Linked DNA regions of Anolis sagrei. The protein of the gene in region 4 interacts with the protein of the main gene of each other region in a pairwise test. Links are inferred from orthologs where the notes say so. Each region holds a gene or a part of one and is shown on either strand. Other genes may lie near its edges.

Region 1 (7,837 bases), on a different chromosome or scaffold from region 4:
ACTCAACAGGTTCCTGGACCATCTGAACAGCATCCACCCAAACATATGGTTCAGAGATGTGGATGACACCTTCACCATTTGGAGTCATGGAGAAGAAGAACTCAACAGGTTCCTGGACCATCTGAACAGCATCCACCCAAACATATGGTTCAGAGATGTGGATGACACCTTCACCATTTGGAGCCATGGAGAAGAAGAACTCAACAGGTTCCTGGACCATCTGAACAGCATCCACCCAAACATATGGTTCAGAGATGTGGATGACACCTTCACCATTTGGAGCCATGGAGAAGAAGAACTCAACAGGTTCCTGGACCATCTGAACAGCATCCACCCAAACATATGGTTCAGAGATGTGGATGACACCTTCACCATTTGGAGGCATGGAGGAGAAGAACTCAACAGGTTCCTGGACCATCTGAACAGCATCCACCCAAACATATGGTTCAGAGATGTGGATGACACCTTCACCATTTGGAGCCATGGAGAAGAAGAACTCAACAGGTTCCTGGACCATCTGAACAGCATCCACCCAAACATATGGTTCAGAGATGTGGATGACACCTTCACCATTTGGAGTCATGGAGAAGAAGAACTCAACAGGTTCCTGGACCATCTGAACAGCATCCACCCAAACATATGGTTCAGAGATGTGGATGACACCTTCACCATTTGGAGTCATGGAGAAGAAGAACTCAACAGGTTCCTGGACCATCTGAACAGCATCCACCCAAACATATGGTTCAGAGATGTGGATGACACCTTCACCATTTGGAGTCATGGAGAAGAAGAACTCAACAGGTTCCTGGACCATCTCAACAGCATCCACCCAAACATCCAGTTCACCATGGAAAAAGAAAATGGAGGAAGACGGCCTTTTCTAGATGTCCTAGTCATCCGCAAACCAGATCAACAATTGGGTCACACCGTTTACAGAAAACCCACACACACAGATAGAGATCTACACAAAAACTCCAACCATCACCCAAGTCAACAAAGAAGCCCCATTAAAGCCTTGGCAGATTCTGCCAAGAAGAATCTGTGAAGCCCACCTCCTCCAAGATGAACTGAACCACCTCAGATGGGCTCTCCAGGCCAAGCGAGACTCCACCTCAGACATCAGAAGAGCTGCAAGGCCACCGAGAAGAAGCCACGAGAGTCAAGACAGAGACCCACCCAGAGGGAAAGTGTTCCTGCCAGACATCAAGGGAACCACTGACCGCAGAGGGAAGCTGATGAGGAAACACAACCTACAAACCATCTCCAGACCCACCAAGAACATCCAACCAATGCTCCGTTCAGCAAAGGACAAGAGGGATCCTCTCACCTCTGCAGGAGTCTACCATGTACCATGCAGCTGTGGACAAGAAGTCTCCAGAGGGACCACCAAACGCAGCAGCATTGCCCAACATACACATCAAGGAACATGAAAAGCACTGCAGACTACGTCAACCAGAGAAGTCAGCCATAGCAGAGCACCTGAGGAACCAACCTGGACACAGCAGATTATTGGAGAACACAGAAATGCTGGAGCACACCAACAACCACCATGTCAGACTACACAGAGAAGCCATTGAAATCCACAAGCATGTGGACAATTTCAACAAAATCTGGCTCCCAGTATTAAAAAAAACTCTAAAATTAGAATAGCAAAACTACAGAGAGGAAACAAACAAGGACATCTAATCACCTCTCAAGAAAAGATTGCCCCAGGCACCGCCAGACCTTCAAATGCTAATCGAGGTGGTCAGTTGAAACATTCACCCCTAGCTCCAGCAGACAAGAGTCCTTTGTCCCACCCTGGTCACCATTCCACAGATATATAAATCCTTTTTCCTCGTTCCAACAGACCTCACTACCTCTGAGGATGCTTGCCATAGATGCAGGCGAAACGTCAGGAGAAAATGCCTCTAGAACATGGCCATATACAACCTACAACAACCCAGTGATTCCAGCCATGAAAGCCTTCGACATTGTTTGCAAATGCCGGCCTCGTTTTGGTGGAACAGGATGGATGGGGCTGTAGGCATGAAGGATCAGAACTTGTTGGATTGATTCGGGTTGTCTTCTACTCGGAGCGGAACCTCTTTGAGTGTCCTCTTCTGCCCTCGAAGGAGATGGAGATCTATATTTTGAGAGAGCGCGTGGACGTGCCCTTGGGGAACCCGAGGCGCCCGGGGTCCGTCCCCAAAGCCACGGCCAGACCTTACCTTGCTGAAGGCGTAGGCCGCCTTTTCTTCGGCCAAGAATTCCACAAGGGAGGCCGATCTCTGGAAGTTCTGCCTCATCTTGCTGAAGCCGTAGAGGTTGAGCTGTCGGATGAAGCTCTTCATGCAATCCGTTTCGAAAATGCGCAGGGGACCCTTCCTCTCCAGGACCTCTTTCTTGAAGAGCTCCTCGTCGATCACGACGCACGTCCCGTCCTCGTCCCACCACAGGGACTTGAAGTGCTCGCTCTCCACAATCTTCCAGAGCTTTTTGGGGAAGGTGAGGGAGAGGAAGTCGCTGTCCTCGAGAGAGCCGTCGTCGCAGAGGGAGAGCCGGGGTCTCTTTGGCCAGGGAGCGTCGCTCAGCGCTTGGAAGGCATTCTCCTCGATCATGGACCTCAAGGCCGAGTCGCCAGCCGCCGTCTTGTCGTGCAGCGGAGTCGAGGAAAGGGAGATGGCGGAGTGGATCCTGTCCTCTTCGGCTTGGCCAGGAGGAAGGTCCAGGTCCTGGTCGCCCTTGTCGCTCAGGTAGCTCTTCTCAGCTGCAGCCATGGGCGCTCTGAGTCCAGCCTTGCCAAGAAGGCAGCATCAGGCCTACTAAAAAGGAGGACAGCCTGCCAGGAGCTGGAGCTACAATCAAGAGTTCCAGAACGTCACAATCAGACCCATCCTGTGTCGGTGTGACATCACAAAACGAACTCTGGTTTCCTAGCAAATGAAGCCATAATGAGGGGAACATCACTGGGAACATCACTCGGCGCACCCTCACTCAACCAAGGAGGCTCTGAGGGTCAAGCATTGGCTTCTTCAAACAATGGTCCAGACCCATTGCATTTGAAATCGAACTCGAGGCATGAGGAAGTGACCAATCCTGCTCATGTTATTGGTTACGAAATGAGTCTTAATAATAGTAATAATAATAACACTTTATTTGTACCCCGCTACCATCTCCCCAAGGGACTCGGTGCGGCTTACATGAGGCCAATAATAATAATAATAACAACAACAACAACAACAACACTTTATTTGTACCCCGCTACCATCTCCCCAAGGGACTCGGTGCAGCTTACATGAGGCCAATAATAATAATAATAATAATAATAATAATAATAATAATAATAATCTTCATTTGTACCCCACTACCATCTCCCCAAGGGACTCGGTGCGGCTTACATGAGGCCAATAATAATAATAATAATAATAATAACAACAACAACAACAACAACACTTTATTTTACCATCTCCCCAAGGGACTCGGTGCGGCTTACATTAGGCCAATAATAATAATAATAATAATAATCTTTATTTGTACCCCGCTACCTTCTCCCCAAGGGACTTGGTGTGGCTTACATGAGGCCGTACCCGAATACAACAATACAAGCAATAACAACAGTACAAGCAATTAAAAATAAAATAAAAACATAGGCAATAAACATACAACATTACCAATAAGACAACATACAATTAAAACTGGGAAGGCCAAGTGTAAAATTAAAATTGGAAATAATGCTGGAACATGGGCGAAAAGGTGATAGTGGCGTTTGTGGAAGACATACGAGCAGATCTAAAAATGTAAAGTGCTTTGGAGGGACAAAGTGCTATGGGATCATTATTCCGGGAAGGCACACTGGAACATCCACATCTTCAAGTTCCTCCTTTCGACTTGGGGCATGCCTGATGTCCTTAGGAAGTGAGTTCCAGAGTCGAGGGGCCACCACCGAAAAGGCCCTATCCCTCATCCCCACCAATCACGCTTGCGATGGAGGTGGGATCGTAAGTAGAGCCTCTCCAGATGAACGAAGAGATACGTGTGGGTTCGTACACAGAGATGCAGTCGCGTAGGTAGGCGGGTCCCAAACCGTTCAGGGATTTGTAGGTGAGCACCTGCACCTTGAATTGGGTCCGGAAAATGAATGGCAGCCAATGGAGCTCCTTAAACAGGAGGGTTGACCGCTCCCTGTAAGGAGCACCAGTTAACAACCTGGCCACCTCCCACTGGACCAGTTGAAATTTCCAGTCCGTTTTCAAGGGCAGCCCCATGTAGAGTGCAAAGAAAGGGAAAGAAAGAAGGAGGGAAGGAAGGAGAAAAAACAAAAAGGAAGGAAAGGAGGAGGGAAGGAAGGAAGGGGAAAAAAAGAAAAGGAAGGAAAGAGAGAGGAAGGAAGGAAGGAAGGAAGGAAGGAAGGAAGGAAGGAAGGAAGGAAGGAAGGAAGGAAGGAAAGAAAGAAAGAAAGAAAGAAAGGAGGAGGGAAGGAAGGAGAGAAAGAAAAGAAAGCGGGAGGGAAGGTTGGCCACAGCAACCTGTGGCAGGTCCAGCTAGTGTGAGAAATAACATGGACACCCAACTTCAAAGCCTTTGAAGAGACCTTTTCATGGGCTCCCAGAGTTGTGGCACAACCTGTTTTCCTTCTTCACTTCAGTAAGTGCTGTGCCAATATATTGTAGATCCAAGCATGGCACAGTGTTTTGACTGAATTTGAACACTGTCATTTGGAACCCAAGGATGACAGGGAATGCATTTCCCATTTTCCTGCCAAACAGATAGATATTCCAACCAGCGAAACTCCATCATGAATTGTAAGTATATTCCCAATAAACGAAAGCATTGCAAGACGTACTCGGGAACAAAGAAGGGTCGGCTCATCAAGGATTCCAGGAGGATACTTTTTATTCAACAGCCAAAAGTGGGGGGATGAGAAACAGGTATTATTACCCAGGGTTTTGCACTTTAACAAAAGTGGGAAACCATCCCCTCCTCCTCCTTCCCCTCTCGACAATACAAAGAATGTGGCCGTTTACACAATAATTTACATACCTTTATCCAGGCAATTGGATCCCTTAAGAGGGGAGGAACTTCCAAGTCCTACCTGCGGACATGTTTCGAAGACGGCGCTCCTAGTTCCGTGCGAGGAGGACAAGGCAAGCATGCGGGTGGGACATCACATGGCTGTGCGACGCCAACAGAAACAGATGAACACAAAGCACGTCATTCACAATCGATGATGCACTTCACGCAGCCTTTTAAAAATACTTTTGCATATTTATACTGTACAGACTCTTAAAAATATATTACATTGCCAAAGGTTCATATAAATACTATACAGGCAAGCGTGAATCCAAGGTTCCCAAAGAGGAGCCCTCCTCGTCCGCCGAAATCCAGTCCAGAGTGACATGTGCATGAAGGCCACTGGTTTCAGCCGGTCTTGCCCACATGGAACTGTGGACACAGATGAGAAGAAAGGAAACGGTGACATGGGACAAAAGTTCCACCAATTCTGATCAGGACCTTGACACGCCTGAGCCTGAGCTTACATGTCGCCTTCTCATTGATTTTCCTGCCATGGTAACAGAAATGACCTGAAGACAAATCTCCGTGATCTCCACGTTACAAGCCACTGAGGCACACACCACGATTCATAACAAAAGAAAGGCATGAGATAAAAACGCGCTGGCCGCTGGTTCCCGGTCGTTTCCACAACGGGAAGAGTCCACGCAGGCGCCTCCGAGGGGACACTTAGTCGGGCATGTCGATGTTGAGCTTGGGAGGCGGGATGACGTACTTCCCAGGACTCTGCGTAATAACCACCCCCGTCTTTTTCCGAAACATCGGAGCGATTTTGGGAGGTTCGGGGATGGGCGTCTCTTCCGCCTCGTCGTTGTCTTCGTGGTGCAGGTCGTAGGAAATGTTGCCGTACTCTCGGAGGAAGGGGAAGATTTCCAGGAGGAATTGGCAGAAGTCCTTGCGGATTCCAAACCACCCTGCGCCGCGTTTCCAAAACAAGAAAAAGGGGGAGGTCATTGAGAGTGTCAATCCACAGAAAAAAGTGGCCAACCCCACAATGCCTTGCAACCCCACATAGGGAAAAAACACGTCCAATTGTCTCCTGCATGTGTCACCAGTTGGGGACCCCCCCCCCCATCACCACCATCTTGTCTCTTGTGCTATGCTAATCTATATATATATAAATGTTCTGTGCATAATGAGTTCCCTAAAAACAAAAGAACCAATAAACAAAATCCCACCAAATTTGGCAACAAAACGTCTCACAACACAAGGAGTGACCATCACTCAAAAAATTAGGATTTTGTCATTTGGGAGTTGTAGTTGCTGGGATTTATAGTTCACCTATAATCAAAGAGCATTCTGGACTCCACCAACAATGGAATGGAACCAAACTTGGGACACAGGACTCCCATGACCAACAGAAAATACTGGAAAGGTTCGGAGGGCATTGACCTTGAGTTTGGGCATTGTATCACCTATCTCCAGTGAGCACTGTGGACTCAAACAATGATGGATCTGGACCAAACTTAGCACTAATACTCAATATGCCCAAAAATAAACACAGATGGAGTTTGGGGGAAATAAACCTTGACATTTGGGAGTTGTAGTTGCTGGGATTTATAGTTCACCTATAATCAAAGAGCATTCTGGACTCTACCAACGATGGAATTGAACCAAATTTGGCACACAGAACTCCCATGACCAACAGAAAACACTAGAAGGGTTTGGTAGGCATTGACCTTGAGTTTTGGAGTTGTAGTTCACCTACATCTAGAGAGCACTGTGGACTCAAACAATGATGGATCTGGACCAAACTTGGCACGAATACTCAATATGCCCAAATATAAACACAGATGGAGTTTGGGGGAAATAGACCTTGACATTTGGGAGTTGTAGTTGTAGTTGGGATTTATAGTTCACCTACAATCACAGGTCATTCTGAACCCGCCAGACGATAGAATTGGGCCAAACCTCCCACACAGAACCCCCATGACCACCAGAGTGGGCCACAGCAACACGTGGCAGGGGATGGCTAGTAATCTATATAAATAAAACTGTAATGTTCATTTGTGGGATTAACAGAACTCAAAAACCACTGGACGAATTGACACCAAATTTGGACACAAGACACCTAACAACCCAATGTATGTCCTTCACTCATAAAAACACTGAAAAAAAACAGCAGAAGGGACTTAAAAAGCCCCAAAAAGCTAAATGACGAAAAGCTAAATGACAATACAAAAAAAGGGAAGAAAGAGGGAGGGAAGGGGAGGAAAAAACAAAGAAAGAAAGAAAAGAAAGAGGGAGGGAAGGAACGAATGAAGGAAAGGGAGAAGGAAGAAAGGAGAGAAAGAGGGAAGGAAAGAAAAAAGGGAAAGAAGGAAGGAAAGAGGGAGCGAAGGAAGGGGGAAGATGTAGGGAAAGAGGGAGGGAAAGAAAGAAGGAAAGGGAGGAGGAAGCATGGAAGCAGAGAGAAGGAAGGAAAGAGGTAGAGAAGGAAGAAAGAAGAGAAAGAGGGAGGGAAAGAAGAAGGAGGAAGGAAGGAAAGAGATAGAGAAGGAAGGAGAGAAGGAAAGAAAAAAGGGAAAGAAGGAAGGAAAGAGGGAGCGAAGGAAGGGGGAAGATGTAGAGAAAGAGGGGGGAAGTAAAGAAGTAAAGAGAAGGAAGAAAAGAGAGGCAGCAGAAGAGAAAGAAAAGTGGGGAGGAAGGAAAGAGATAGAGAAGGAAGGAAGAAGGAAAGACGGGAAGGAAGGAAAGAAAGAGGAAGTGAAGGAAGGAGAAAGAAGGAGAGAAAGAGGGAAGGTTGGCCACAGTAACGCGTGGTGGGTACAGCTAATACAATATA
Region 2 (7,406 bases), on a different chromosome or scaffold from region 4:
CATTACTGCAGCTGGCACTTATTTGATTCCTAATGTTTACAGCTTGGCCGTGTTTACAGCAATTTACTGCCATGGTTAGAGGACCGCAGTTTGACTGAGTCTGAGTTGATGTTTTTATATGTGCATGTGTTTTATTTTACTGTGTTTTATATTGTGCTCACACTTTTATGTTTTGTTTTTAGGCACTTTGTGCTTCCTGTACCATCTCCCCAAAGTCCCTTTGGGGAGATGGTAGCGGGATATAAGAATAAAGTTGTTCTGGTTGTTATTTTTGGTGATAAAGCTTCAGTGGAGACAACTTTTCCCCATGACAAGAGTGGATATCCCTTCGTATGGATAGATTTCTCCACTTCCTGTTGTCTCAACCCCAATTGTAACTATGAGTCGTATATAAGTCGGATGTTTCTAACTTGGAGATTGTATATCCTGTAATTCTAAGGCACATCCCATTTTTAGATCTGTTTATATAGGGGGGAAAGTGCTTTTTAGTATTGAAGAAATACAGCGTTACACTCTTACCCAAAGGGACGAGAATGAATAAATCTTACATATCAGGGTCCCATCCCCCCCCCCCCCCCCCCAAAATACAGGCAAGACAAATCTGGAGCATCAGGAAATGTTTTTCTCCCTGTTGTTCCATAAAAGTGCTATTTGTGCCAGTAAGATAGCACAGTTTGGCACCAACTCTTAACTGATTTGTTATCCTGCTGCTTTCACTATACTCCAAAATGAGTCCCAAAACTCAGCATAGCCCAGGCATGGGCAAATTTGGGCCCTCCTTTTTTTCCCCCAGCCACTTAAGTTGAGGGGGAAAGGAGGGCCCAAATCTGCCCATGCCCAGGCTATGCTGAGTTTTGGGCTCAAGCAGCTGAGAGGGAAAAGGAAAGGGCCTGAGGCTGTTAGAAATAGTGGGAATCGTAGTCCAAACCCCCTGGAGGGCCCAAGAGTGCCCATGCCTGGCATAGCTATCTTTCTTGATCCCTCCAATGTGGTCCTATAGGAAAAGGTGACTTCACTCCCAAACTACCTTCCGCATCAGATCCTACTGGCTCACTCTAAACCACCATATAATCCTGTTTCTGAATTGAGATTATCTGCTTTGAACTGAATTATATATACGAGTTAATACTGCCATATAATCCACTCCAAAGTAGATAATCTGGATTCAGAAACTGGGTTATATGGAAGTAGAGGTGGTCCAAGGCCCCTACTATACAGCTGAATAAAATCCCACATTATCAGCTTTGAATTGGGTTATATGTCAGTGTGGACTCAGGGCCCTTCCACACAGCCCTATACCCCAGAATATCAAGGCAGAAAATCCCACAATATCTGAGTGCAGACTGAGATAATGCAGTTCAAAGTAGATATCGTAGAGTTTTCTGCCTTGATATTCTGGGTTACAGGGCTGTGTGGAAGGGCCCTCAGATAACCCAGTTCCAAAGTAGATTTTGTGGGATGTTCTGCCTTGATATGGCTGTGTGGAAGAGCCCTCTGATAACCCAGTTCCAAAGTAGATTTTGTGGGGTTTTCTGCCTTGATATTCTGGGTTATATGGCTGTGTGGAAGGGCCCTCTGATAACCCAGCTGAAAGCAGATCTTGTGGGATTTTCTGCCTTGATATTCTGGGTTACATGGCTGTGTGGAAGGGTCCTGAGTGTTGAACTTCCATCGGTTTCCACAGGCTCAGCAAATACAAATTCACAAACTATTCAACTCACAACCCTCTAAGGATGCCTGCCATGGATGTGGGCGAAACGTCAGGAGAGAATGCTTCTGGAACATGGCCATACAGGCCGGAAAACTCACAGCAACCCAACTATTCGACTGCTATGAAGCCATCAAAGCACAGAAATATATACAGGGTGACGGGGGGGGGGGGATATCCCAGAATATCAAGGCAGAAAATCCCACATTATCTGAGTGTGGACTCAGATAACCCAGTTCAAAGCAGCTACTGTGGCATTTCCTGCCTTGATATTCTGGGATACATATAGGGCTGTGTGGAAGGGCGCCGGACGACGCGACAAAAAGTTTCACAAACTCCCCTTCGCCATGAAAAAGACGAAGCAGATCAAGCGGTGTCAATACGCATTCATGCTACAGTGTAGAGGCGCACCCTTTTCAAAGCCTGTGCTTTGGATTCCCACCCTTTTCCCCTGGATCTAAATCGGATTCTAATAGGGAAAGAATGTGCTGGATGCGTTATCGATTACCGGGCGTCCTTCTTGTTGTTGTTTCCCTACAAGGAAGGCGATGGCAGGGAGGGAGGGAAACAAAAGTTTCCCGAAAGTTAAGGCTGGAAGGGAAGAAGGAAGGAAGGGAAGGAAAGAGCCAGGCGCCTCTGTTGTTGTTTCCCTCCCTCCCTGCCATCGCCTTCCTTGTAGGGAAACAACAACAGAGGCGCCTGGCTCTTTCCTTCCCTTCCTTCCTTCTTCCCTTCCAGCCTTAACTTTCGGGAGCGGCGTTGCGCAATCGCTCTCCTCCCGAGCTGCGCGAGCCACAGAGACGCCCCCGAAAGCGCCCTCCAACTTTCCCCACAGGAAGGGTACCTCTTCCTCGGTCAGGCTGGGCTCCGGCGGAGTGGGCTCCTGCTCGCCTTTCGCGCTGTTCATGGTCTCCTCCTCTCCCTCTCCTCCTTCTCCTGGGCTGGGGCACTCGCCCTGGCCGCCCGCAGCTCTTCCAGCCGCATACAGGGGCTGCTCCGGGGAGGAAGCGGGGCGGCGAAGGCAGCGAGATAAGACCTCCGTCTCCCTCTGAGGCGAAGAAGGAATGAGCTGAGGGGAAGAAGAGAGGAGAGAGGAGGGCGCGCGCAGCCCCCCACCCCACCCTGTCTCCGCGCGCGCCCGGCTCTGATTGGCGGAGAGGCGGCGCCCTCGACGGCGCGAGAAAGGAGGGCAGGGAAGCGCGAGACCCCCCGCCGCGGCACGTGAGGGGAGGAGGCGGCGCCAAAGCTCAACCGTCGAGGCTTCCACTGCCTTGGCCTGCTGGCTACCCTCTCTTGCCCCTGCCAAGCTTGACAGGCGTCTGCACGTCTACACAATAAAGCAGCACGATCTCCAGAAGACGCTTCCTTCTTGGGAGGAGAGCAATGTCCAGTCTCCATAAAATAGTAAAGAGTAGAGACATCAGACTGGCAACAAAGATCCGCCTAGTCAAAGCCATGGTATTCCCTGTAGTAACCTACGGATGTGAGAGCTGGACCTTAGGGAAGGCTGAGCGAAGGAAGATCGATGCTTTTGAGCTGTGGTGCTGGAGGAAAGTGCTGAGAGTGCCTTGGACTGTGAGAAGATCCAACCAGTCCATACTTCAAGAAATAAAGCCTGACTGCTCACTGGAGGGAAGGATACTAGAGACAAAGCTGAAGTACTTTGGCCACATCATGAGGAAACAGCAAAGCCTAGAGAAGGGAATGATGCTGGGGAAAGTGGAAGGCAAAAGGAAGAGAGGCCGACCAAGGGCAAGGTGGATGGATGGCATCCTTGAAGTGACTGGACTGACCTTGAAGGAGCTGGGGGTGGTGATGGCGGACAGGGAGCTCTGGCGTGGGCTGGTCCATGAGGTCACGAAGAGTCGGAGACGACTGAACGAATGAACAACAACATCTCCATTCCCATTCATTCATGCCATGTGCGGTGGCGCAGTGGGTTAAACCCCTGTGCCGGCAGGACTGAAGACAGACAGTTCGCAGGTTCAAATCCGGGGAGAGGCGGATGAGCTCCCTCTATCAGCTCCAGCTCCTCATACGGGGACATGAGAGAAGACTCCCACAAGGATGATAAAAACATCAAATCATCCAGGCGTCCCCTGGGCAACGTCCTTGCAGATGGCCAATTCTCTCACACCAGAAGCAACTTGCAGTTTCTCAACCTGCTCCTGACACGACAAAAAGAAAAAAATGCCATGTGCGGGCTTGACGAATGCAAGGCTGGGGTTAAAACTGCTGGAAGAAACATTAACAACCTTAGATATGCAGATGATACCTCTTTCATGGCTGAAAGCGAGGAGGAGCTGAGGAGCCTTCTAATCAAGGTGAAAGAAGAAAGCGCAAAAGCTGGGTTGCAGCTAAACGTAAAAAAACCAAGATTATGGCAACAAGAATGATTGACAACTGGGAAATAACTGAAGACCTGGTTGTTTGAGCAGGCATTTGAATAGGCAGTGTAACGAACATAGGAATATGGAACAAATGAATGATGAGACTGGATCTTGATTTTTATTATGAGATGCTAATGAGATGTTTTATTTATTTATATTGACTGTTTATTATGCTACTGTTTTTAATTGTTTTTAACTGATTTATGATGGTTAGTAGGGAGAGAGGGGAAAGCTTTCATACCTAGTGAGGGCTCCAGGGGTCCTGGGGCCATCCCTTTGCACAGCTCTGGCAAAGGCAGGACATCCTTCCTTCATGGCGGTCACTGTAGGATCCTGTTTTCTCTTCCTGGGGCCTCTCCTGTGATGGCCTTCCCCAGCCTCAAGGGGGGGCTGTCTCTTCTGGGTGGCTGGAGGTCTGGTCCTGCCCTTCTGGGATCCTCCTGTGCCATCTGAGTTCCAGCTGCCACATGAGAAAACCCGCAGAGCTCCCGCAGACTCACCACCCAGGTAGCTGTCCACAGTGGCAGGAGTGGATTATGGATCCTGGATCCAGTCTGATCTGATGTCCCTTGTCAGGTGGTCTTCTGGTTCATTTCAGCTGTGCCGGGAGGTCCCCTGGACCCTACAGTGCCCTTCTCATATTTAAAGGCAGTTAGAGGGGCCATTAAAAGATTCACACACATGCATTTGGGGAGGGGAGGGAGATGGACCAGGAAAGAAGAAAAGGGTTGTTGAGGGACTGTGCAGAGTGAAAGAGAGAGAGAGAGAGAGAGCCTTAGCTATAGGGGCAAGACAGGATTTTGACTGTCTATGTTATAAGGAGCAATGGGGATGCTGGGGGCCCCCTTGGCAGGGGGAAGAGAGGGGAAGAGAAAGTTGAGGCACTTTTAGCCTAGGAAAACATGAAGCGGAGGGAAAAGATATGAACGCATGGAAATGTTTTGTGGAACATGATTTTCAGAGAGGGAGAAAGGATAATCCAGGGGGCGTAAATCATTCCCAGACACCCCAAGAGGTGTGTTTGGCGGAGGAAAAACAGAAAATCTAGGATGAAATTGTCCCTGAATTAAAGCCTTCACTTGGGTGGTGGGCAGTGTGGTGTTTGTGGAGGACATTGGCAGGGCTCTTTGGACATGTTTATGGCAATCGCTATAACCTGCAATGTCAGTGAGGGAGGGTCTTTGGTGTTCGCTTCATAGGTGGGGGTTATAGCTGTTGATGGAGGCGGGAGCCTGTCTGTGAAAGTGGGCACCCCAGCCTCATACATACAGATTTTCACTTTTATTATGTGTATTGATAATGATTGATAGATAGATATAGATATATATTGATATATATTGATATGAGACTATGGTCTTTACAACTCAATTATATGCGATACATGGACCGTCCAAGCTTGTAGCCAAGGGGGCAGTTTAGGGATTCAACACCCTCCCTGAAATTTGTCAGATCAAAAATAAAACAAAACACTGGTTTGCTCATGAATTTTTACTGGTTAACTAAATCCCCATGCCAAGCCTATGAGAAGCAACAATTAGAGTTCCTCCAGAGCTACAAGCACTCTCTCAACCAAATTTAGATGATTCACACTATCATTGCCTGCCTTTCTACCAATTTACATTGCAATAGCAGTAATAGCTGACATAGTGGAAGCTGCCAAAATGTGGTAGCCAGCAGGCAAAGCCTAAGGCACGGGACAGGGAGGAGGATTTGACCTGGATTGCAGGTAAAAACTGTGGAAACTGAAGAGTACCATCAGAAAAACTTGTGCTTGGCTGAAAATGTCTTGCTAATTCACGGTAAAATATCTTGACGTAAACCGTCATCACGACAAAGGAAATAAGAAGAAAGCAGAAAAAAAAAACAGAAAAAAACTTCTGCCAATTTTGGAAACTATTGTCCTTTGTGACCGACAAGAGGGAGAAAGATTCAGGACCTATTACCTGTGAAGTCCCCAGTGGTGCAGTGAGTTAAACCCTTGTGCTGGCAGGACTGAAGATCAACAGGTCGCAGGTTCAAATCTGGGGAGAGCACTCATGAGCTCCCTCCGTCAGCTCCAGCTCCCCATGCGGGGTCATGACAGAAGCCTCCCACAAGGATGATAAAAACATCAGAACATCCAGGCGTCTCCTGGGCAATGTCCTTACAGACGGCCAATTCTCTCACACCAGAAGCAACTTGCAGTTTCTCAGGTCGCTCCTGACACGAAAAAGAAGAAGAAGAAAACCATGAAGAACCTTTGCATAATGATGGTAATTTCAGAGCCTTTTTAAAATCTACCAGATCAGTTGATACTGATCTGAAAAGTCATGTGGGCAGGGTGGGAGGGGGGAGTTTCAACTCCTCCCGAAAGCTATCTGCAAACATCACTCTTGACTTCTAGAATATTGCCTCAGCTTTGCCTCCAAAAAATCCTGCAAATCTCTTGGGAAGATGGATGTACAAACATCAGTATTCTGGAAGAAGCAAAGACCACCAGCATTGAAGCCATGATCCTTCGCCATCAAATTTGCTGGACCGACCACATTGTCTGAATCCCCGATCACCGTCTCTCAAGGCTGCTACTTTACTCTTAGTTTCAGAACGTAAACGGAATGTCAGGTAGATAGCAAAAGAGATTTGAAGATGGGCTTAAAGATGACCTTTAAAATTTGGTATAAACACTGAATCTGGGAAGCTTTGGCTCTTGAACGTCTAACTGGAGGTCAGCTGTAACTAACAGTGCTGTGGAATTTGAAGGGGCACGAATGGAGGGCGAAAGGAAGAAACGTGTCAAAAGGAAGGCATGTCAAGCCAACCCCTGTTGGGACTGCCTTCTATCTGGAAATGTATGTCCTCAATTTGAAAGACCATGCGAAACCAGTCACTTCCTTCCCAGTCTAAACTTTTGGGAAATTCAAGTGAGTTTATTGCAGAGGAGAAGCTATATATGGAGAGAGATCCCTAAAACCATTCCTGGGGTGCATCTGGCAGAATTCATGCACTTTAACACCACTCTAACTACCAGTGTACAATTGTATGGAATCTTGGGAACTGTAGTTCTACAAGGAGCTTTAGCCTTCTATGCTGGAGAGTACTGCTGCCTCACAAACTACACTTTCCAGGATTCAATAGCATTGAGCCATGAAAACTTAAAGTGGTATCAAACTGCATTAATTCTACAGTGTAGATTCAGCGCTAGTCTCATATCTTTTTCCCATGACAAGATTTCCTCTTTCATTACTGTTTTGCCACCCCCAGTTCTATTTAAACGTTTAAGCTTGGTAACCTTATCTTAATAGTTTTCAGGAGGAAAGAAATATCACACC
Region 3 (7,321 bases), on a different chromosome or scaffold from region 4:
GCCCCCCCCCCCCAAAATCCTTGCTGACTCAGGAGGAGGATGGTATTGCTCACCTTTGGCCTGAGCTGCCTCTCCACTGAGTCACCGGGACAGACGGAGGCGAAGGCAGACAAAGGAAGGAAGGAAAAGGGGAAGGAAGAAAAAAAAGGAAGGGAGAAAGGAAGGGTCTGCTTCAGTCAGCTGCCTCCTCCCTTCTAGACATCTGGAAACTTGGGTGGTGGAGGGGGGAGAGGCCCTCCTTGTAAGAGCCCCTCTGGACTAAAGGCCCAGCCATTGTGGGGAGGGATGTGGGGAAGTGGGACAGGAGCCCCCCCCCCCTTTCACCCCCTAGTCTCCTGTTTCATTGCAAGCCAGAGTCATTCCCCGGCACCCACCCCGCCCTGGGTTTAGCACTGCTTTGTGCCTGGGCTGCATCCCATTCGGGGAGGACAGATAGCCTAGGGCAGTGGTTCTCAATTTTCCTAATGCCATGACCCCTTAATATAGTTCCTGATGTTGTGGTGACCGCCCAACCATAAAATTATTTGTGTTGCGACTTCATAACTGTAATTTTGCTACTGTTATGAATCGTCATGTAAATATCTGATATTAAGGATGTATTTTCATTCACTGGACCAAATTTGGCACAAATATCTGATATATCCAAATTTGAATACTGGTGGGGTTGCAGGCAGGCCCGTAGCCAGGATTTCGTTTCGGGGGGGGCTGAATTTTTTTTTCAGGGGGGGTTTCGGGGGGGGCTGAGTTTCGGGGGGGGGGGGGGCTGAGTCTGAGTGAAAGAGGGGCTAGCCTAGCAAACCTTTTGTATCGTTACCCCAATACCCCCATGCATATGGGATATATTGATTATGGTGATCAGATCATGATATGAATAAACATAACAGTTTAAATAATGCACCATTAAGGCCTTTTCGCGAACCACCATGAAAATTTCGGGGGGGGCTGAAGCCCCCCAAGCCCCCCCCCTGGCTACATGCCTGGTTGCAGGGGGATTGATTTTGTCATTTTGGAGTTATAGTTGCTGAGATTTATAGTTCACCTACCATCAAATAGTATTCTGAAGTCCACGAACGATGGAATTGAACCAATCTTGGCCCACATAACTCCCATGAACAACAGAAAATACTGGAAGGGTTTGATGGGCATCGACCTTGAGTTTTGGAGTTGTAGTTCACCTACGTCCAGAGAGCACTATGGACTCAAGCAAGGATGCATCTGGACCCAACTTGGCACAAATGCTCAATATACCCAAATGTGAACACTGGTGGAGTTTGGAGAAAATAGACCTTGACATTTGGGAGTTGTAGTTGCTGGGATTTATAGTTCACCTACAATCAGAGAGCATTCTGAACTCCACCAAGAATGGAATTGAACCAATCTTGGTACACAGAACCTCCATGACCTAGAGAAAATACTGGAAGGGTTTGGTGGCCATCGACCTTGAGTTTTGGAGTTGTAGTTCACCTCCATCCAGAGAGCACTGCGGACTCCAGCAAGGATGGATCTGGACCAAACTTGGCACAAGTGTTCGATATGCCCAAATGTGAATACTGGTGGAGTTTGGGGGAAATGGACCTTGACTTTTGGGAGTTGCAGTTGCTGATATGTATAGTTCACCTACAATCAAAGAGCATTCTGAACTCCGCCAATGATGAAATTGAACCAATCTTACACAGAACTCCCATGAACAACAGAAAATACTGGAAGGGTTTGGTGGGCACTGACCTTGAGTTTTGGAGTTGTAGTTCACCTCCATCCAGAGAGCACTGTGGACTCCAGCAAGGATGGATCTGGACCAAACTTGGCACAAGTGTTCGATATGCCCAAATGTGAACACTGGTAGAGTTTGGGGAAAATAGACCTTGACATTTGGGAGTTGCAGTTGCTGGGATTTATAGTTCACCTACAATCAAAGCATGGATATGGACCAAAGTTGGCACAAAAACTCAATATGCCCAAACGTGAACACTGGCGGAGTTTGCGGAAAATAGACCTTGACGTTTGGGAGTTGCAGTTGCTGGGATTTATAGTTCACCTACAATCAAAGCATGGATATGGACCAAAGTTGGCACGAAAACTCAATATGCCCAAACGTGACCACTGGCGGAGTTTGGGGAAAATAGACCTTGACATTTGGGAGCTGTAGTTGCTGGGATTGATAGTTCACCTACAATCAAAGCATGGATATGGACCAAAGTTGGCACGAAAACTCAATATGCCCAAACGTGAACACTGGCGGAGTTTGGGGAAGATAGACCTTGACGTTTGGGAGCTGTAGTTGCTGGGATTTACAGTTCAACAACAATCAAGGTGCATTCTGAACCTCACCAATGAGAGAATTGGGCCAAACTTTCGACCCAGAACCCCCGGGCCAACAAATACAAATACTGTGTTTCTTGATGGTCTTGGGCGACCCATCTGACACCCCCCTCACGACCCTCCCCGCAGGGGTCCCAACCCTCAGATTGAGAAAGGCTGGCCTTGGGACACCCTAGTCCTGTTGGGAGCCCCTCAGCCTCACAAGGGAAGTAGAGTTCATTATTATGATTAGGGGTGATGTTGATTTTTCTCCCTGGACGACTTCCTGAGGGGATGGGGGGGGGGGGCAAGGGCATTACGACCCCCAATGAAGCACCACATGCCTCTTTTAAAGGAAGGAAGGAAGGAAGGAAGGAAGGAAGGAAGGGAAAAGGAAAAGGAGGGAGGGAGCTGGCCCGCTCTCCCTCCGCCTGTTTCTCAATGAATGTCCTTTGTGGGGCGCTGGACTGAGACCCCCACCCACCCAGGACAAAGAGCCTCCCTTCCTCAAGGCTCCCCCCTTCCTGGACCCCTCTTCTTTCCCTCGCTTGGCCTCACCTGCTCCTCCTTCGGGGCTCCTTCTTCCCTTCCTTCTTTCGCTGCCTTCCTCCTCCCGTCCAGCGCCGGAGGACCGGGCCCGTCCTGCCCGCGCCTCTCCCTCCGTCCCTCCAAGGTGGAGCTCTTCCCCGCCCGGCTGGAAGGGAGGAGGTGGGAGGGGCGGAACCCCCAACTGAGCCCCGCCCACTCCTCTGCGGCCCCGCCCCCTTGAAGTCCCCGCCCCTCTCCTTCCCTCACCATCCCCTCTGTGTACAAGCCCCCAAATGAAGAGTTCTGCTTCTCCTCCCCCGAGAATTTCGATAGGCACCAAAGGGCGGTAGTAATTGGTGACTTCAACAGCCATAGCCACGTATGGGGCTATGCCCAAGAGGACAGAAATGGAGAGGCTGTCCTCTCCTGGTCTGAACTGCACAAACTATCACTCATCCATGATAGCAAGCTCCCCCCATCCTACAATAGCGGGAGATGGCACCGAGGCTATAACCCAGACCCAGAGGCAGCCCTAGGTAATTTTCAACGGTAAGCAAACAGTATTTTGGCGCCCCCCCCCACCCCCAACCAATCATTGATATATATTTTCTGTTTGTCGTGGGAGTTCTGTGTGCCATATTTGGTTCAATTCCATCATTGGTGGAGTTCAGAATGCTCTTTGATTGTAAGTGAACTATACATCCCAGTAACTACACTTGCCACACTCGCTCCCTTGCCTGGCCTGCTTTGGGTCCGGAGGCGTGCCTGAAGACCCCGGCGTGTGCACCAAAAGTCACCTCTTCTCCTGACTTTCTTCTCAGCCATTGGGACCGAGAGAGAGAGAGAGAGAGAGAGGTGGAGATGCCCACCTTTCCTGAAGGTAGGCGCAAAAACAAAGGAGGGAGCGGAGGTGGGAGATACTTCCAGCCAGAGGGGCTCTCTCTCTCTCTCTTGGTCCCAATGGCTGAAGAGAAAGTCAGGAGAAGAGGCGACTTTTGGTGCGCACGCTGGGGTCTTCAGACACCCCTCCGGACCCGAAGCGGGCCAGGTGCAGTGGCTCCGCCCCTTGGCCCACCCATGGATTGGGGAGAGGAGGCGGGTGGAGCGCCGGGGGATCAGGAAAGGGAGCTGGTCATGGGGAAGGGATCAAACGCGGAGAATGACTGAGTGCTGGCTCTGCTTGCGCACCCGGTGGCCGGGTGGAGCAGGAACGAGAGGGGCTAGGCAAGGCTCAAGGGCACGGCCCCTTTGGGAAGAGGATCGCCCGACAGCGAGGCAAGAAAGACGAGGCTCCCCCTGGACTGCTAGGGCTGTTGTGAGCTGAGGGGGCGCTCCTCAAGTGGCGGTCGAGGGGCATTTACAGAGGCACCTCTGCACCCCTGGCAAAAAAAGAGTGTTCTGCGACCGCTTACTTCGCGTAATGGACGAGCCGCCCCTGCCCAGACCTCTTATTTGTGAGCGACAGCATTGTACAGCACTGCACTAAATCAGTGGGACCACCAATTCCAAACACACAGCACCGACCAATAATATGCCAACTGTTCCCAACAATAAGGCCTCAGGAAGTTCGATTTAAACAAAGATACAACTTCAGAAAGGCAGATTGGACTAAATTCTCAGACATGTTAGATGACATGATCACATCGGCCGCGCCAATCCCTGAGGAATACGAGCATTTTATTGAAATCGGGAAAACCTGCTCACGGGCCTCGATACCGAGAGGCTGCAGAACCAACTACCTTCAGGCATTACTCCTGAAACAGCTGCCTTGTTGGAAAACTATTACAGACTCCACTTCGAAGGCCCATTTAGTGAGCAGACTCTTCAGGCAGTGCAGAACATTGTGTCCTCCATCTCTGAAGCCAAGAAAGAACATTGGATCAATCTGATCACAGAGGTCGACATGGGCAGGAGCAGCCAGAAGGCGTGGAGGTTGCTAAGATGGCTGAGCAACGACCCCTCACAAACTAATACCCATGCCAACATAAAGGCAGATCAGATAGCACACCAACTCTTGAAGAACGGGAAACCCAACCTTGCCACCAAAGTAGGAAAGAAACCAATAGCCAGACAACAAGAGATTGAGAACAACAACCTTCACGAACCCTTTACATCTACTGAATTGGACATGGCTCTCAATAAATGTAAGAATGGCAAAGCAGCTGGCTTGGATGATCTACAAATGGAACAAATCAAGAACTTTGGCCCAAAAGCAAAGTGCTGGTTACTGGAGCTGATGAACAACTGCACTGCATCCTGTCAGATCCCCAAAATCTGGAGGAAAGCAAGAGTCATTGCCATCCTGAAGCCAGGCAAAGACCGTAATGATCCAAAAAGCTACAGACCAAACTCCCTGCTGTGCCACCTCTACAAAGTTCTGGAGAGACTTATTCTGCATAGAATTATGGAAAAAATAGACCCCTGTCTGATCCCACAGCAAGCTGGCTTCAGGAAAGGCAAAAGCTGCACATCGCAAGTGCTGAACCTGACTCGGCACATAGAAGATGGCTTGGAAAAGCAGCAGACCACAGGAGCTGTCTTCATAGACCTGTCAGCGGCTTATGATACTGTGAACCACCGCCTCCTCCTGAGAAAAATGTATAATATCACAAAGGACTACCACCTCACCCGCCTCATAGGAAACCTGCTACAAAACAGGAGCTTTTTTGTTGAGTTCCAGGGCCAGAGAAGCAGATGGCGGAAACAGAAGAACGGCCTGCCTCAGGGGAGCGTGCTCGCTCCATCCATGTTCAACATCTACACAAATGACCAGCCACTGCCAGAAGGGACAGAGAATTTCATCTATGATGATGATCGTGCCATCACCGCCCATGCAGTGCGCTTTGAAATGGGAGTGTGCTTGCTCCATCAATGTTTAACATTGACACAAATGTCCAGCCTCTGACAGAAGGGACAGGGAGTTTCATCTATGCTGATGATTGTGCCATCACCGCCCAAGCAGGGAGCTTTGTAATGGGAGTGTGCTTCCTCCATCAATGTTTAACATTTACACAAATGAGGAGCCCCCGGTGGTGCAGTGGATTAAACCCCTGTGCCAGCAGGACTGAAGACCAACAGATCGCAGGTTTGAATCCAGGGAGAGCGTGGATGAGCTCCCTCTATCAGCTCCAGCTCCTCATGCAGAGACATAAGAAAAGCCTCCCACAAGTATGGTAAAAACATCACAATATCCGGGCGTCCCCTGGGCAACGTCCTTACAGACGGCCAATTCTCTCACACTAGAAGTGACTTGCAGTTTCTCAAATCACTCCTGACACGACAAAAAAAATTACACAAATGTCCAGCCTCTTCCAGAAGGGACAGCGAGTTTCATCTATGCTGATGATCGTGCCATCACTGCCCAAGCAGGGAGCTTTGAAATGGGAGTGTGCTTACTCCATCAATGTTTAACATTGACACAAATGATCAGCCATTGCCAGAATGGACAGTTAGTTTCATCTACATTGTCAGCAGCTTGTGACACTGTAAATCATCGTCTTCTCCTGAGAAAAACTTACACTATCACAAAGGACTACCACCTCACCCGCTTCATAGGAAATCTGCTACAAAACATGAACTTTTTTCTTGAATTCCAGGGCCAGAGAAGCAGATGGCGAAAACAGAAGAACGGCCTGCCTCAGGGAAGCGTGCTCACTCCATCAATGTTTAACATTGACACAAATGATCAGTCATTGCCAGAAGGGACAGAGAGTTTCATCTATGCTGACAATCATGCCATCACCACCCAAGCAGGGAGCTTGGAAATGCTTGAACAGAAGCTCTCTGAAGCTTTAGGTGCTCTTACTGCCTATTACAGGGGGAAATGGCTGATTCCTAATCCATCTAAAACACAGACATGTGCTTTTCACCTTAAGAACAGACAAGCATCTTGAATTCTGAGGATGATCTGGGAAGGAATCCCACTGGAGCATTGCAGCACACCAAAATACCTGGGAGTTACCCCGGATCGTTTCCCGACCTACAAGAAGCACTGCTTAAATATGAGGGTTAGATGCCTCCATCTTCATAATTCCTCAACAGATGGCAGTACTGGTATGTGGCAGGTCCTGGCTTGTTCAGTAGACTCTCCTCCACAGTTCCATTTTGGCGGGAAGCCTTAGCATTGAACGTTTGTGTTGTTAAAGTGCAAAGTATGGAACCCTGCACAGATGATTGGTCAATGCAACTTAAGCAACGTGCAGTCATTGAATTCTTGACAGCAGAAGATGTCACCCCAAAGGAGATTCATCAGAGAATGCAAGCTGTTCATGGTGATTGTGTTGATGTGAGTACTGTGTGTCATTGGGCGAGTAAGTTTAAAGATGTTGAGAGGAACATCTGACTTGCGTGACAAAGAGCTGGACGTCCTGTGACAGCAACCACCGAGTTTCCCAAGCAAAAGGTTGACAGATTGATTCAGGACGATTCACTCAGAGAGAAATTTCAAGCATAATCGACATTTCACAAGAATGTGTGGGTCACATTATTGCTTTGC
Region 4 (7,831 bases):
TTTCTTCATGTACATATTATCAATTCAAGTGTTGTAAATTTCAGTATATTTTTCCATATGTAATTAAGAATTCAGTTATAGAGTCAGCTCAAAAAAAGAAAAGAAAAGAAAAGAAAAGAAAAGACACCCCATGTGAAAAACATTGCTTTATCCCCTTGCTCTCACTCTGTTGCTTTTGACGAGCTTTATCGCATATAGCGGGGCGAAGCTGCAGCTTGGTCCCATCTAGAAGGGTGCAATTCCTGGCACACACCACCACACCAAGGCAGGACTTCTTGAGAATTTGGCAGTTGTGGTTGTTAGTGTTGCGCATGGCCCAGCCACTGAGGTGCCTCTGAGCATTTTTATCTTCACTGGAATAAATGAACCGCAGGTAGCCATCTGGCCACTCCTGGAAGGAATCAAAGTGCTTGGGCTCCTGGCATCAGAGATAAAGATATGAACAAAAAGAGGAGAAGAAAGTAGGCAAAGAATATAGTGACATAACATTTCAGTTTTAAAGAAGGAGACCAAATTCAATGCGGAATTCAGGTTTCACAAGATCCATAATAGAGATGTTAATTGTACAATGCAATGCCTCAATTCTCTAAGCACAAGACACAGGCTGGAACTACGTTGTATTATGTAGATCCAGCCATACAGGTAGTCTTTCCATATTAGTAATTTATCATTTGGCATCTAAGAAGCTGCTTGAGTGAACTCCACACACACATTTCTAAAGAATGCCAAGATGTATTTTAAGTTGCACATTTTTGATATATTACTTTTTAAGGCACCAGATGCCCTCTGAACTTGAAAGCTAATCATGATCAGGCCTTGTTGTTACTTGGAAGAAATGTATAGTAAAGGAATATCACAGGGATAGTAGGATGTATTTCAAAGGAATGCAACATACAATGACTTTAGAGTAATCCTTGTTTTAGAAAATCCTATAAAATTGATGTGTCTTGATGTATTATGACCCAATGAATTTCATATGGGTTTTGCCCAGTCCTTTCTCTGAAATGTAGCTCACAACATTTGGTACTTATTGGCAGTCTCCCATCCAATAGTAACCTGTGCTGACCTTGCTTAGCTTCCAAAATCAGAATGTTCTGATGACTTTAGTGCATTTAGGCCATTGGGTTCACTATACATTCACAGGCAACCTGAAGGCACATTTTCCTCAATGCCTTCTCAAGACTACTATAATTTATTTATTTATTTATTTATTTACTTTGCTTATATACCGCTGTTCTCAGCCCGGGGGCGACTCACAGATTTTACTTAAATCAACAGGAGCCCCCAGTGGTGCAATGAGTTAAACCAGGCATCCTCAAACTGCAGCCCTCCAGCTCTTTGGGCCTTCGACTCCCCTAATTCCTGACAATTGAACAAGCTCATTAGGGCTTCTGGGAGTTGGAGGCCCAAACAGCTGGAGGGGTGCAGTTTGAGGATGCCTAGGTTAAACCCTTGTGCCGACAGGACTGCTGACCGAAAAGTCGTCAGTTTGAATACGAGGAGTGAGGTGAGCTCCCATCTGTCAGCTCCAGCTTCTCATGTGGAATCATGAAGGAAACCTCCCACAGGATGGTAAAACATCCAGGCATCCCCTGGGCAATGTCCTTACAAATGGCCAAATTCTCTCACACCAGAAGCGACTTGCAGTTTCTCAAGTCACTCCTGACATGAAAAAAAAATCAAGAAATCTGTTGTGAGCTTGCAGTTGTGCAAATGTCACCATGCCGAAATGACATTTTCTTGTGAATATATTTGTGATAAGCAACATGATTTTCCAACCCTCTTTGCCAATATCCAGTTTAAAATGCTACTTTTAATAAAACAGCATTACACCTCATTCTCTCATCTTCTGGCAGGAATTGATTAATTGTCAAATACTTTAAAAACAGCAGTAAATAGAACACTCTCCTTAGATATACATGCATACATCACTATTTTTCATCTTTTTTGCTTTTGTTTTTATGGAAGAGGTGTTATGATTAAAATGATAAAAATGTAAGAAGGTCTCCATCAATAGTAATAATAATAATAATAATAATAATAATAATAATAATAACAACAACTTTATTTATACCCTATTACTATCTCCCCAAGGTGACTCGGGGTGGCTTACATGAGGCCAAGCCCAACAATTTCAACAAAGCAAATATACAACATAAAAAATACAGCAATAAAATATAATAAAATAATAATACAAAAAACAATACAGAGTAAACACACAATTCAATATAAAACCACAATAATTGGACACAATGGGCAGGGCCAGTTGCAAAGATTAAAATGTTTAAAAACACTGGGTGAGATGAGCAATGTAGTGTATCTGGAAGGATGTATACTGAATAAAATACCATTACTGCAAGTCTATGACTTGTTGGTATCATCATTTGAATGATACGAATTTAGTTTGAAACGTGCTTCATCTTGCAATGTGAAAAATAGGAATAGAGAAGCATTCTGCTTAGTTAAAGTTAATTTCATGTCTCCTGCAACGAGTTTTGAGACAAAGCATACCTTTTTCAAGAAATGCACACATTTATGAAACTGGCAATGCATTTCAGAGGAATAAAGTATGCTCAGAACTTGAGTATTACTGAGCAAAGCTGATGTTTATAGCTAAAAATGCAAAAAAAAATGAATAACAACAACAAGCACATATTAATAATTAGGGGACTAAATAGAAATGCATACATGCGTGTACCATACAAGTATAACAAAATACACATTTATATCCATTTTTAGACAGGAAAAAATATTTCTACCAGAGGCAGAACTGGTATGGGAGGAAACTTGTAAAATTCTAAAAAAATACACACAAAAAAACCACCTGAAACTGATCAATGTTTTGATAAAAAGCCCTTAGAAAACTGGCCCATAAAATCATATTGGTAGGTCACCCCCTTACTTCCAAACCTTTTGTGCTGTCCACTACCTGTGGTAACTTGGGGTCATTGATGTCCCACGTTAGCTTCATCCCAAAGGAACAGACATAGTCAGAGTTCTCAAAGTGATCCTTTGCCATGTTTCTTTATCACCTAAAGGAACAGGGTACCAGCAAAAAACGAACAAACAAATAGAACAAATATTTACTTTGCCTTTCTTACCAGGTGAGAATTACACTGTCATTTCTAGATGTCAAAATCTTAGAATATCATTTTTCTCATCAAGTGGACTATTTTTTAAACGCATCACTATGTCTGTATAAAAACTACCAATTCTAGCATAACTAAGGGCATGGAAAATTAACTTTTTTGAACCTATTCTCAAAATCTCTCCACGTGGTTCTTAAAAGTATACCTACACATTTACTCTGTGAGCATAGCATTTTTTAAATGAAGCAGAGTATCTGAGGAGGTTGAGGTTGATATGGATACCAAGGTGCTTGTTTATAAAACTCTTGTTTTTCTCCATCAACAACTTCACTGGGCCAGCCACATTGTCCAAATACCTGATCACTGTCTCCCAAAGCAATTATTTCCTCTCAGCTCAACAATGGAAAATGGAAGGTTTCTAGACAGCAAAAGAGATTTAAAGATGGGTTTAAAGCTAACCTAAAACAATGTGGAATAAGCACTGAGAACTGAGAAGCCCTATTTATGTGTTCCAGCTGCTGGTAGGCTCTTACCAGCAGTGCTGTGGATTTTGAAGAGGTACAAATAGAGAATGAAAGGGAGAAATGTGCCAAGAGCAAGGCACGTCAAGCAAACCCTTGTCATAACCATCTTCAATCTGGAAATATATGCCCTCACTGTGAAAGACCAGGTGGATCCAGAATAGGTCTCTAGATCCAATACTCTACCCCTGGAAAACAATACTGTACCCCTGGAAAACAATCGTATTCAACCTATGAGATTGTAGGGTATAGTGGTGTTAACTTGTCACATGCAGATAATATCCAATGTGTAAGGGAAAACTATGAAATTCTTGCCTGAATGGACATATATTGCAGGCATGCATGCTAATTTTGCTCACTTTTGGTACCAGCTGTAGAAATTTTGATCTCTCACATTGGTACCTTATTAGCTTAGCAAGTAGCCTTGTGAGACAGTACATAGTTACCTACGTTACAAGTAGAGAGGAGGCTGAGACAAAAGTAAATTTGCTAAGGCCAGGCTGGGGCAAAGGAATGACTGGACAATGATGAAGGTGGTCAAATGCTCACTTAGTCAGGATTATTTTAAGACAGTCATTATTAGTCACACTAATATACTTCCCAGGATAAAGGTGGGATAGGAGAGAACAGTGTAGGCAGATTTGAGATCCTTGAAAGAAAGGAAATATTTGGGTTTACCTAAACTGTAGAATGAATGCAGTTTGGAACCACTGTAGCCACCATGGCTCAATGCATTAGAATCACTAGAGTTGTAGTTTTACAAGGTCTTTAGCCTTCTCTGCCAAAGGGTGCTGGTGCCTCACCAAACGACAAATCCTAAGACTCCATAACATTGAGTCATGGCTGTTAAAATGGTGTTAAACTGCATTTATTCTATAATGTAGATGCAACCCTTGATGTAAAACATATTATAGTAGTCCAAATGCACCAGATCTTGCCTGGTGTTGGCAGCTAAGCAGTGTCAGCTCTGGTTACTACTTGGATGCGAGACTATCAAAGAATACCAGGTACTGTGGGCTCTATTTCAGAGGAAGGAACTGGACAAATCAACTCTGAGTATTCCTTGCCTAAGAAAACCCCATAAAATTATGCGGTCACCATAATTCAACAGGAGACTGAAGTTCCTAGAATCCTAGAGTTGGAAGAGACCACATGGGCCATCTAATCCAACCCCCTACCATGCAGAAAAAGCACATTCAAACTATCCCTAACAATGGCCAGTCTCCTTCTCTCCAAGGAAGGAGCTTCCACTAGATTATGAGACAGAGAGTTCCACTGTTATACACCTCTTACAGTCAGGATTTTTTTCACTAATATTTAGGTAGAATCTCCTTTCCTGTAATTTGAGCCCATCGCTCTGAGTCTAGTTTCCAGAGCAGCAGAAAATAAGCCTGTTCTCTCTTCTTTATGACATCTTTTCATATATTTATACATGGCTATCATGTCTCAACCTTCTCTTCTGTGGGCTAAACATACCCAGCTTTTTAAGATGCTCCTCATAGGGCATGGTCTCCAAACCTTTGATCATTTTAGTTGCCCTCCTCTTGACATGTTCCAGCTTGTTAATGCCTTTCTTGAATTGTGGTGCTCAGAATTGGTCACAGTATTCCAGGTGAGGTCTGGCCAAATCAGAATAGAAAGGCACCATGACTTGCCTTGATCTAGAAACAATACTCCTTTTGATGCAGTCCAACATCTCATTGGCTTTTTAAACTGCTGCATCACATTGCTTACTCATGTTCAACTTTTGGTCTACTAAGATTCCAAGATCTTTTTCACATGGACTGTTGTAGAGCCAGGTGTCACCCATCCTGTACCTGTGTATTTCATTTTTTTCTGCCTAAGTGTAGCATCCTACATTTGTCTTTGTTGAAATTCATGTTGTTAGTTTTGGCCCAGCTCTCTAATCTCTTAAGGTCGTTTCGAATTCTGATCCTGTCCTCTGGAGTACTAGCTATCCCTCCTAATTTGATATCATCTGCAAACTTGATAAGTATGCCCTCTAAACCTTCATCTAAATCATTAAGCAAATGAAAAAGCAAGAAAGAACTTGGAAGTAGCAAAGGGCACAATGGGACTTACCTTTGTAGAGAAAGCTACAAGGACTTGCTTGCTGGGCCTTATTTGTATGATTTATTCCTGGCCTCTGTCCACTGCCTTAGGTGCTGAAATCATTCAGGAGATGCTCTTTCCATCTCGCCTCTCCTTCTGGATTACGCCTGTGAGGAAAAGCACTTTTTCTGCCCCAACCTTCACCCTCCCACATACCAGATCTCCACCTTGGGAAAACCACGTGGGTAGAGATGGGAGCTCCTCCTTTCTTCATCCCTAAAAGGGAGGTGTAAGGCTTCATTCCCCCCACTCTCTGGGTACATCTGCACTTTAGAAGTTTTTTTAAAAACTTAAAAACTTAAAAAATGCTTCTTAAATGCAATCAGTTGGGAATTTTTTTTAAAGAAAACACCAAGAATAAAATGAAATCACAGGCACTAAGGTAAAAAAAAAAGGACATCAAATTCAAAAATATAATCCCTTAATGCTCCCTTTCCACAACTATCTTACCACTGTATCTTTCCTTTTAAAAATACATTATAACATTTTTAAAAACTACAACTGACATCTCCCCTCCCAAAGACAAATGTTATAATGTATTTCCATTTTACTAGTTCTATCAATTTCCAGTAAATATAAGGAATATTAAAATTAATGCATAATTCCTGCCCTGGTTCAAGTCTATGGGGTCCGGGGAGTTGTAGTCAAATCTTTACAAACTCTTTAGCTTCTCCTGTCAAAGAATGCTGTTACCTCACCAAATTATACATTATGTAACTCTGAACCCTGGTAGTTAAAGTGGTGTCAAATTACTTTAATTCTAGAGTGTAGATGCACCATGGATTGTTTCAGAGACTCCAGGTTTAAGACATGCTTTGAGCATGTACAGTTTTGCATGTTAGACTCTCTGAAATCATGACACCATCCCTTTATGTGTGTGTGTGTCTGTGCCTTCAAGTCGCCTGATGATTTACGGCAACCCCATTAACTTCCTAAGGTATTAGAAGATGCATCTACACTGTGAGATTGATGCAGTTTGACACCACTTGGCTCATGGCAGGTTATAATATTGCTAAAACACATAATCATTTAAAAATACTCTGCAAAATACACATATTAATACTAAAACATATTTCCACAAAATACACATGCAAAAATTAGACATAATGTGGAAATTTAAAAATCATCATTAAAACCATCAGGGTAGGCCTGCCAGAAGAGATAAGGCTTCACTTTTGTCTTAAATTGTGACAGCTGATCTAGCTGTCGGAGCTCTACTGACCAAGTGATATGGGTTATACAGTATTTCTGAGGAAGGAACTGGCTAAACTGCCCCTGATAATTCCTGGGCTAAGGGGGCATCTAAACTATAGAATTAATGCAGTTTTACACCAACTGCCATGGCTCAGTTCTATGGAGTCCTGGGAGGCACACTATTTCACATTCTATCCAAAATAGTTCTGGTGCCTTACCAAACTTTAACTCCCAGGGTTGCATAGCATGGAGCCATAACAGTTCAAAGTGGTGTCAAACTGCATCAATCTCAGGGAAGAAATAATAATAATAATAATAATAATAATAATAATAATAATTAATATTATTCCTTGGGGTATTCCCACTCAAGTCCTAATCAGACTGAAGCATTAAAATGAAGATTGTTTCTCTGTTGCTAGATGCTTTTCCTTGGGAAAGCACAACATTGTATTGTTGGCAGGCAAATTTTGAAGCAAAAAAAAAAAAGACCCAATTGGGTAGATGGTTCTTACGTGTTTTAGCAGGAAATATGTTATCCGTTCAAGTGAACTCCTGCAGACTTTGAAGCTGGCAGTCTGGGCCCTTCCACATGGCTAACATCTTAACTTTGAATAGGATGATATATTTAAGACTGGAAGGAAAAATCTATGAAATGATACATCTTTAATCAATAGACTTGCATGGACAGAGCCTCATTTTTAATTATGCTCTCCTAAGGGGAAACTGTGGCCCAGTCTATAAGGTAAAGGTTGTCCCCTGACATTAAGTCCAGTCATGTCTGTCTCTGGGGTGTGGTACTCATCTCCATTTCTAAGCCGAAGAGCCGGAGTTGTCCATAAACACCTCCAAGATCATGAGGCCTTGCATGGAGCGCCATTACCTTCCCGCCGGAGTGGTATCTATTGATCTACTCAC

Evidence for each region.
Region 1: the proteins of GCM2 (region 4) and heat shock transcription factor, Y-linked-like interact in binary tests that used the Homo sapiens proteins (3 or more experiments, as listed by UniProt). The link is inferred for Anolis sagrei from reciprocal best matches to the Homo sapiens genes GCM2 and HSFY2.
Region 2: the proteins of GCM2 (region 4) and RBPMS interact in binary tests that used the Homo sapiens proteins (3 or more experiments, as listed by UniProt). The link is inferred for Anolis sagrei from reciprocal best matches to the Homo sapiens genes GCM2 and RBPMS.
Region 3: the proteins of GCM2 (region 4) and FHL3 interact in binary tests that used the Homo sapiens proteins (3 or more experiments, as listed by UniProt). The link is inferred for Anolis sagrei from reciprocal best matches to the Homo sapiens genes GCM2 and FHL3.

The regions. Positions count from the first base shown.
Region 1 is NC_090030.1:36,551,577-36,559,413, forward strand, and holds the start of heat shock transcription factor, Y-linked-like, read right to left. Parts: upstream 3,008-7,837; 5' UTR 2,760-3,007; coding exon 2,211-2,759; intron 1-2,210. Other genes in the region: TMEM185A (transmembrane protein 185A), read right to left, coding at 5,722-5,966.
Region 2 is NC_090022.1:150,009,344-150,016,749, reverse strand, and holds the start of RBPMS (RNA-binding protein with multiple splicing), read right to left. Parts: upstream 3,020-7,406; 5' UTR 2,616-3,019; coding exon 2,553-2,615; intron 1-2,552.
Region 3 is NC_090034.1:86,441,294-86,448,614, forward strand, and holds the start of FHL3 (four and a half LIM domains protein 3), read right to left. Parts: upstream 3,014-7,321; 5' UTR 2,857-3,013; intron 114-2,856; exon of another isoform or gene 54-113; intron 1-53. UniProt on the Homo sapiens protein: Recruited by SOX15 to FOXK1 promoters where it acts as a transcriptional coactivator of FOXK1.
Region 4 is NC_090024.1:83,306,970-83,314,800, reverse strand, and holds the start of GCM2 (chorion-specific transcription factor GCMb), read right to left. Parts: upstream 3,020-7,831; coding exon 2,930-3,019; intron 419-2,929; coding exon 166-418; intron 1-165. UniProt on the Homo sapiens protein: Transcription factor that binds specific sequences on gene promoters and activate their transcription. Through the regulation of gene transcription, may play a role in parathyroid gland development.